2 linked regions of the Oryctolagus cuniculus genome follow. The protein of the gene in region 1 interacts with the protein of each later gene in a pairwise test. Links are inferred from orthologs where the notes say so. Each region holds a gene or a part of one and is shown on either strand. Other genes may lie near its edges.

Evidence for each region.
Region 2: the proteins of ZGPAT (region 1) and keratin, type I cytoskeletal 15 interact in binary tests that used the Homo sapiens proteins (3 or more experiments, as listed by UniProt). The two-hybrid records come from large-scale screens. The link is inferred for Oryctolagus cuniculus from reciprocal best matches to the Homo sapiens genes ZGPAT and KRT15.

The regions. Positions count from the first base shown.
Region 1 is NC_091442.1:341,322-344,823, forward strand, and holds the end of ZGPAT (zinc finger CCCH-type with G patch domain-containing protein), read right to left. Parts: intron 2,207-3,502; coding exon 2,073-2,206; intron 1,955-2,072; coding exon 1,799-1,954; intron 1,405-1,798; coding exon 1,285-1,404; intron 1,191-1,284; coding exon 788-1,190; intron 700-787; coding exon 561-699; 3' UTR 338-560; downstream 1-337. UniProt on the Homo sapiens protein: Transcription repressor that specifically binds the 5'-GGAG[GA]A[GA]A-3' consensus sequence. Represses transcription by recruiting the chromatin multiprotein complex NuRD to target promoters.
Region 2 is NC_091448.1:21,109,364-21,113,409, reverse strand, and holds the start of keratin, type I cytoskeletal 15, read right to left. Parts: upstream 2,802-4,046; 5' UTR 2,726-2,801; coding exon 2,201-2,725; intron 1,360-2,200; coding exon 1,277-1,359; intron 1,176-1,276; coding exon 1,019-1,175; intron 734-1,018; coding exon 572-733; intron 474-571; coding exon 348-473; intron 245-347; coding exon 24-244; intron 1-23.

The DNA of each region.
Region 1 (3,502 bases):
GAACAGGGCACGGGGCCGACCCCCTCGGCTGGGAGACAGGGAGGACACCAGCCTTCCTGGAGCCCTGTGCAGCGTGCCCCCCCCGACCCCCACAGCCTTCCTGGAGCCCTGTGCAGCGTGCCCCCCCCTGACACCCACAGCCTTCCTGGAGCCCTGTGCAGCGTGGCCCCGACACCCACAGCCTTCCTGGAGCCCTGTGCAGCGTGCCCCCCCCCCCGACACCCACAGCTTTCCTGAGCCCCCTGTGCATCGTGGCCCCCCCCGACCCCCACAGCCTTCCTGGAGCCCTGTGCAGCGTGCCCCCCCCGCCCCGACCCACAGCTCAGCCTCCACGGAACACTGATGAAGTGACTTTAATGTCCTAAGGAGAGGCCCAGCACACGGCAGGTGTCCGGAAGTGACCCTCCAGCCCCACCTCCACTGGACAGCGTCTGTGCCCCCGAGGCCAGGGAGCCCACCACGGGGCAGCCTGGGAGCAGAGTCCTTCTTCAGGCAGTGTCCTGGGGTCAGGGCGGCCCCGGGGGCGGGGTCCTGGGCCTCCAGCCCCAGGGGTGGGGCCTCTAGAACTCCGTCATCTTCTTGTGGGTGTCTGCCTTGCTCTGCGCCCGCTGCAGGCCGGCCTCCTGGGCGCGGAGCTGCCCCAGCCGCCGCTGGGCTCCTGCCAGTTTCTCTTCCAGCTGGGCGGCGGCCACGCTGTACCTAGGGAGGGAGCAGTCAGCATGGACCCCGGCCCACTGCCCCCAGGCCAGCCTGCTGCTTCCGGGCCAGGTGTCCGCAGCCTACATACCGGCCGGTGTTCCGGGCCAGGGCCTCCTGGATGGCCCGGATGTCCCGCTGTGTCCGCTCGATCTTCTCTTCCGTCTGGAGGAGCCGCAGGCTCAGGGCCTGCTTGGCGCTCTTGCTGGCGTGGTACATGTCCTTGCCCCTCCTGGACGGGGCCACCTCGGCCTCCGGAGCCCCAGGGGCCTGGCCTTGAAGCTTCTCATTCAGGAAGTCAAACAGGCTCCGAGGGGGCGGGGCACCCCCGGGCCCGCCCCCACGCCCCCGGCTCCGCGGGGCCCTGCTGGCGCCTGCCCCATCCCCCTGCGCCCTCTTCTGCAGGATCTCCGCACACTGGTCCAGCGACTTCCCCCGCGGCAGCACCACCGCCTGCACGGGCTCCACCCTGCCTTCCAGGTTGCGGCCCAGGCCTGGGGAGACAGGGGCTGGCCGTGCTGCTGCTGCACCCCAGGGCTGTCCTGGGCACCCTCCCCCGCCTCCGGGCAGCTGACAGCTCACGCTCACCCTTGCCAAACTCATAGCCCATCTTAGCCAGGAGTCTGGAGCCGATGGCCCGCGTGTGCGCCTCCCAGCCAGCAAAGGCAGAGCTGCAGGTCCCAGTGTCCACGGCGCTCGGCTCCACCACTGCAGGGGACAAGACGGCAGTCACTGGGCCAGGCCAGATCCCAGCTCCCGGGCACGTCCCTGTGCACCTGTGGGCTCGTGACCGCCCCCAGCTCCCCCCACACCTCGCTATGGCCCCTTCTCCAAATCCCACCCTCGATCCTGCCTGCATCGCCCAGGGTACAGGGCCAGGGACACACCAGTCTCTGGAGGGCTGGCCACGCCCACCAGCTTCCCTGCCGGCCACTTCTGCCCCAGCAGTCTGGACGCTGTCTGGACGCCCCCTGGTGCCAGGCCCTGGGGCTGCACGGCCAGTCCTCCCGCGCATGCTCAGCGAGGACCGAAGCAGCAGTCCCCACTGGCCCCGCTGGGCGTCCCCCCGTCCTGGCTCCTGGGCACCAGGCCGTGGCCGTACCGCGGGCATAGCTGGCGCCGTCTGTGTCGCTGCTCTCCGAGTCGGAGGACTCGGTGGCTTCCGTGCGCAGTGGGGGCAGGACGCCGTCGCCTTCCACCACCGCTTCCTTCAGCAGCAGGGAGTCGAACTTGACTGTGTAGTAGCCACTGTCCACATCTGCAAGGACAGGCAGGCTGAGGTGAGCGGCTACAAGCGGGGAGCAGGGGACCAGGCAGGGTCCACCCCAGGGAGGCGCTCGGAGGCCTTCCCAGGAAGGTGACCGGGCCAGCCTCACCAGTGATCCGCGCTGGGTGCCAGAGGCCGTCCTGGTGCTTGGCCAGACACGCAGAGCCGACCTGCAGGGAGCTCAGGTCCGGGTCCTGGAAGGGACGCAGCTCATCGACAGGGACCACCTGCCCGTGGGAGAACCTGCAGAGAGCCACACCGGCTGCTGACGGAGGGCACGCACACACGCGTGTGCTCTCGCACGCACATGCCTGTGCTCACAGAGGCATGCACACACTGGGCCTCTGCTCATCCACGTGTCCTGGGCTACAGGGACCACGTGGCAGCAGCCAGTCTCGCTCCTGCACACACTCAACCTCTGCCTGTCCACGTGTCCTGGGCCACGGTGACTGTGGCCACACCCTGGCCATAGCCTTGGCCCCTCCCCAACGACCCCACCCCAGACAGAAGCAGTCAGTCCCGGCAGACGGGCTGGAGTGACTGCAACAGCGGCGCCTCGACCCTCAGCTCCCAGTGGGCAGCAAAACCAAAACCAAGACCCAGAAGAGACAACGAAGAGGAAATGGCGCGGGCAGACACAGGGCCGTGACCTTTCACCTTGCCCAATAAGACACAGAAATCCCGACTGCATCATTTCAAGAGGGCACGCGTATCTGGCCCTACGGGGGTAGCTCCGCGGCTGCAGCCGCCGCCGTCCTCAGGCCAACAGCTGAGTGGCGGCCGCAGCCGCCGCCGTCCTCAGGCCAACAGCTGAGTGGCGCCGGCAGCTGTGACTGTGCCCAGGATGGCTGGACAGGGCTGCTGGCGGGGGGAGCTGCCAGACACCCCCGCACTCCTGACACAAGCCTCCCAATTCGGAACAGGCTGAGTAGGCCGCAGGCTTTCCTCCAACTGGAAGACCCACGCCTGGGGAGAGGACCCCACACAGGCGCACAGAGCTCACTCCCTGCCCGCGTCGTGCAGGCACAACACGGAAAAGCTGCACCTGGGGTCTGCACGTTTTAGGGTTCATCTATGGGAGAGGCGGAGAGGCCCTCATCCGCTGGTTCACCAAATGCCCACAACAGCCGGGCTGGGCCAGGCTGAAGCCAGGAGCCAGGAGCTCCACCCGGGGCCTTGCAGGGGCTGGCAGGGGCTGGAACACTGAGCACCCCGCCGCCCCCGGCTGCTTCGCAGCTGCAGGAGTGCTGGCCTCACTCACCGCACCGGAGACCGGGCCGCACTCGTCTCACTGCTGAGATACACATCTGTGCCCAACGGTTACGGTTTGGAGCCTTTTGGATCCTGGATCTTGGATCACCTTTAGCTGAACAAGGGCTTCTAGAAATGCCACCATTTGCAAAGATTTAGCAACACAAAGACTTGGAAACAACCACCAACCACAGGAAGGGGAGGGAGGGGAGTCACCCACGTCCACAGAGGGCGCCCAGGGTGACAGAACAAGCAGGGAGCCAGGCAGGTGCCGGGGGCATGCACGCA
Region 2 (4,046 bases), on another chromosome or scaffold:
GCTGCTCCGCATCCCTGCCCTACTTGGCGTCCTGGCCCTCGAGCAGGCTGCGGTAGGTGGCGATCTCCTGCTCCAGCCGCGACTTGATGTCCAGCAGCCTGTTGTACTCCTGGTTCTGCTGCTCCATCTCGCAGCGCAGCTCGCCCAGCTGGGCCTCCAGGCTGCCCACGAGCCCCTGGATCTGCTGCAGCTGCGTGGCGTATCGGCACTCCACCTCCGCCAGCGAGTTCTCCAGCCCGGCTTTCTGCAGGAGCGACACATCAGGTGGGGAAGAACTCGCCCAGGGCCCTGGCCGGTGGAGGCGGGCCGGCGGCAGGCGGCGGGCAGTGGAGGGCAGGCGGCCCTACCATGCTGAGCTGGGACTGCAGCTCGATCTCCAGCCCCTGCATGGTGCGTCTCAGGTCTGTGATCTCCGTCTTGCTGCTCTGAAGCAGCTCTGTGTTGGAGGCCACCTCCTTATTCAGCTCCTCGGTCTGTGAGTCACACGCAGGAGAGAAGTGAGCCCCGGGGGCCTCCTGCGAGACCTGGGGAGCCGGGCCTGGCCGGGCAGGGTGGGGCAGGGCAGGCCCACCTTGCTGAAGAACCAGGCCTCGGCGTCCCGCCGGTTCTTCTCCGCCATGGCCTCGTACTGCTCCCTCATCTCGGCCAGCATGCGGCTCAGGTCCACACCCGGCGCCGCATCCATCTCCACATTGACCTGGCCGGCCAGCTGGTTGCTGAACTCCTTCATCTCCTGCAGGGTGGAGGAGCCGAAGAGAGAGCCGAGAGTCTGGGGTCCCGCATGCCCACCGTGGCTGTGCCCCTCACTCACACGGTCACCTTGGCCTTCACCACGCCCGCCACTGCTCGTGAGGATCTCCTGCCTGCCCCAGGCGCCACCCAGGGAGGACACAGGAGGTCAGCAGTTCACACTAGAGGACCAGAGGGCCTCTGTGCCACTAAGCACTCTACCAGCTGTGACAAAGGAAGCAGCAGCCCCCCCCGCCACGCCCACCACCACCACCACCCCCAGTCGCACCTCCTCGTGGTTCTTCTTCATGTAGGCCAGCTCTTCAGTCAGGCCCTCGATCTGCGCCTCCAGGTCGGTCCTGGCCAGGGTCAACTCGTCCAGCACCCTGCGCAGCCCGTTGATGTCGGCCTCCACGCTCTGGCGCAGGGCAACCTCGTTCTCATACCTGAGGAGAGAGAGGGATCCGGGCGGCTGAGTCGGAGGGAGAGCAAGGCCCAGCAAAGAGGAGAACGCGGGGTGGGCGGGGCGGGGGAGGCAGGTGTGCACTTGAGCCTGAAGTCGTCGGCAGCCAGCCTGGCGTTGTCGATCTCCAGGATGACCCGGGAGTTGTCGATGGTGGCGGCCAGGATCTGCAGGAGACCAGGAGCTCGGATGCCTAAGGGATTCCTCCCTCCCCTGCTGCCCTCCTGCCACCCGCCAACCCCTCGCTCACCACCTCCAGGTTGGCACCACCAAGGGAAGCCCCTGGGGCCCTTGGCGCAGCCTCACCTGAGGTGCTGCCCTCCTCGGCTCCAGGGCATGGCCTGGGACCCTACCCCCCCTCCCCACCCCGTGGGATGTGGCTGGCCAAGAATGTGCTAGAGTGAGGTGCAGTGGGCTCCAGCCGTAGCCCTCCCCAGGGTCCTCCTGCACCGGCCCCTCTGGGCACAGCTCACGGCCACTGCCCCCTACACTCCTTGACACAGCTGTGCGTCTACGGAACGTGGAGGGGGCCGAGAAGGCGTTTTAGAGGGGAGGAAACCAGTGCCAGTGAGGGAGACAGTGGCAGAGCCTGGAAAGAGCTCCCAGGTCCCCCAAGTCCTGGCAGTGTTCTTGGCACCAAAGCCCCCTGGAAGGGCGCAGCGGGAGGTCCTGGCACTCGGGGCTCCTGCGGTTACACCCCAGCACCATTCTTGCCAAGGAGGTAAAGGAACACTTTGAGCAGACTCCTGCAGGGCGTGTGGGACAGGGAGGGTGAGTCGCTCTCCATAATTGCCCCTACCTGTGCCCCTGTTGGACCTAACGGGATTCCCAAGAGCCCTCCTGCCCACACTGCCAAGGTGAGCAGATGTGCGCCAGCGCGTGCTCCTGGAACGCAGGTGCACGGCCACTCTGCCGAGGTTGCACATAACGCAGTCATCACCCAGGCAGAAGCAGACACGTGCAGGGCACCTGGCACCTGCTCCCCTCCTGCTGTCACCTGGGGCTCACCTTGTCCCGGAGCTCCTCAATGGTCTTGTAGTATTGGCTGTAGTCGCGCTCCGGGCTGCTCGGGCTCTGCTTCTGGTACCAGTCCCGGATCTTCACCTCCAGCTCGCCGTTGGCCTCCTCCAGGGCGCGCACCTTGTCCAGGTAGGAGGCCAGGCGGTCATTGAGGTTCTGCATGGTCACCTTCTCGTTGACAGAGAGGAGGCCGCCGTCGCCACCACCAAAGTCACCAAAGCCACCGCCAAACCCCCCTCCGAAGCCGCCACCAAAACCAGCACCGGCTGCTCCACCAAAGCCGCAGCTCATGCCGCCCCCATAGCCCCCTCCTGACCCCGAAGAGACAAACCTAGCAGAAGAAGCCGAGATGCTGCGACTCCCACCTCCCCCATAAAGACTCCCCCCACCAAAGCCACCTCCCCCATAAAGACTACCCCCACCAAAGCCACCTCCCCCAGCCCGGAGGGAGCCCCCTCGGGTAGAGCCTCCCCCAAAGGTGGAGGAAGAAGTTTGCAGAAATGTGGTAGCCATGGTCAGGCAGCCGGTGAGGTCTCAGCCAACACTGGGTATGCGGGCAGGTATCTGGGCTGGGACCAGAGCACAGCGCCTGTCTCCCCAGCCTGGAGCTCCTTATATATCCCTGGGGGTGGGGGGTGGGGGGTGCAGGACCATGTCTCCTCCCCCAGAGCCGAGCCAGCTCCTCTGCCCTCCCGACAAACACAGCTGCCTGCACACCTCCACGTGGCTCCTTGCAGGTTTTTTTTTTTTTTAATGCAACAAAAGATGATTCAGAATGAATGGTGTTTTGCCCCAGGCCATGATTTTAACACTTGGATTACGGGTCCATCTCTCTACTCCAGGAGAAAGGAGAGAGAGCAGCAGGGAGCAAAGTCCCAGCCAGCTGTGCCTTCGGTGGGTTTCTCCCACCCCAAGGACCCACAGCATGGGCAGACCCTGGCCACCACCATCTCCTGCCCTGGGAGCCTTGCTCCGACACAGACGGCTCCCCACTCTCAGTGGGGACTGTACTTCCCAAACCCTGCTCTGTGCTCACAGACCTGGTACATGAGCTGTGGGGCCCCGGGAGACAGGCTGAGGACAGGAGAGGAAGACTTGATCCAACTGAGGCGACCAGCATCTGTCCTTTCCCTGGGGTTCCTCTGCCTCCCTCCCTCCAACCCAAGGATCTCTCCTTCTCCTCCAGTTCACCCCAGCCTCCATGGCCTTGGCACACTTGCAAAAGCCCAGCAGGCTGAGCCCTGACAGGGGGCTGATTGATGGTGCCGCCACCTGCCAACTGCACATGTCACTGAACCTCTGCTTGCTCCCGGGACGCGTTGGGGCAAACCTCTGCAGATAAGGCCGGGGCACATTCCAGAAAGCCCCTGCCTTCTCCTGGAGAGGCATGTCGCTGCCTAGCAGGGACAGATTAACCCCCGTTTGTCCTGTCGGGCACTGCAGAGCTGAGGAGGGCCGGAGCCAGAAGTCTCAACCAGCCTGAACATTGCCAAGAGCAAAGACGTGGGGAGGCTGGTTGGCCAGAGATGTTGAAGGTCAAGTCAAACACTCAGAGAGGACAACCATCCCCTCTGCCCTCCAAGTTGGGGCCACCTGACACTGTGGTCAATGCAACGTGCAGGTGTGGCTCAGCCTCTGGCCCCCGACTCCAGAATGAACAGAAAGTCTGGGAGCAGAGAGCGAGCAAGACAAGAGAGGGAGACTCAGGAGGAGGGGGGTTTCCTGGGCCAAGGCTGCAGTGTGGTGGGGTGGACGGGGCTCTGGAATCCCTCGGGCCTGGGTTCAAATCCTGTCTCTACTGATGCCGCTTGGGCCAGCTTGGCCGTATGAGTTT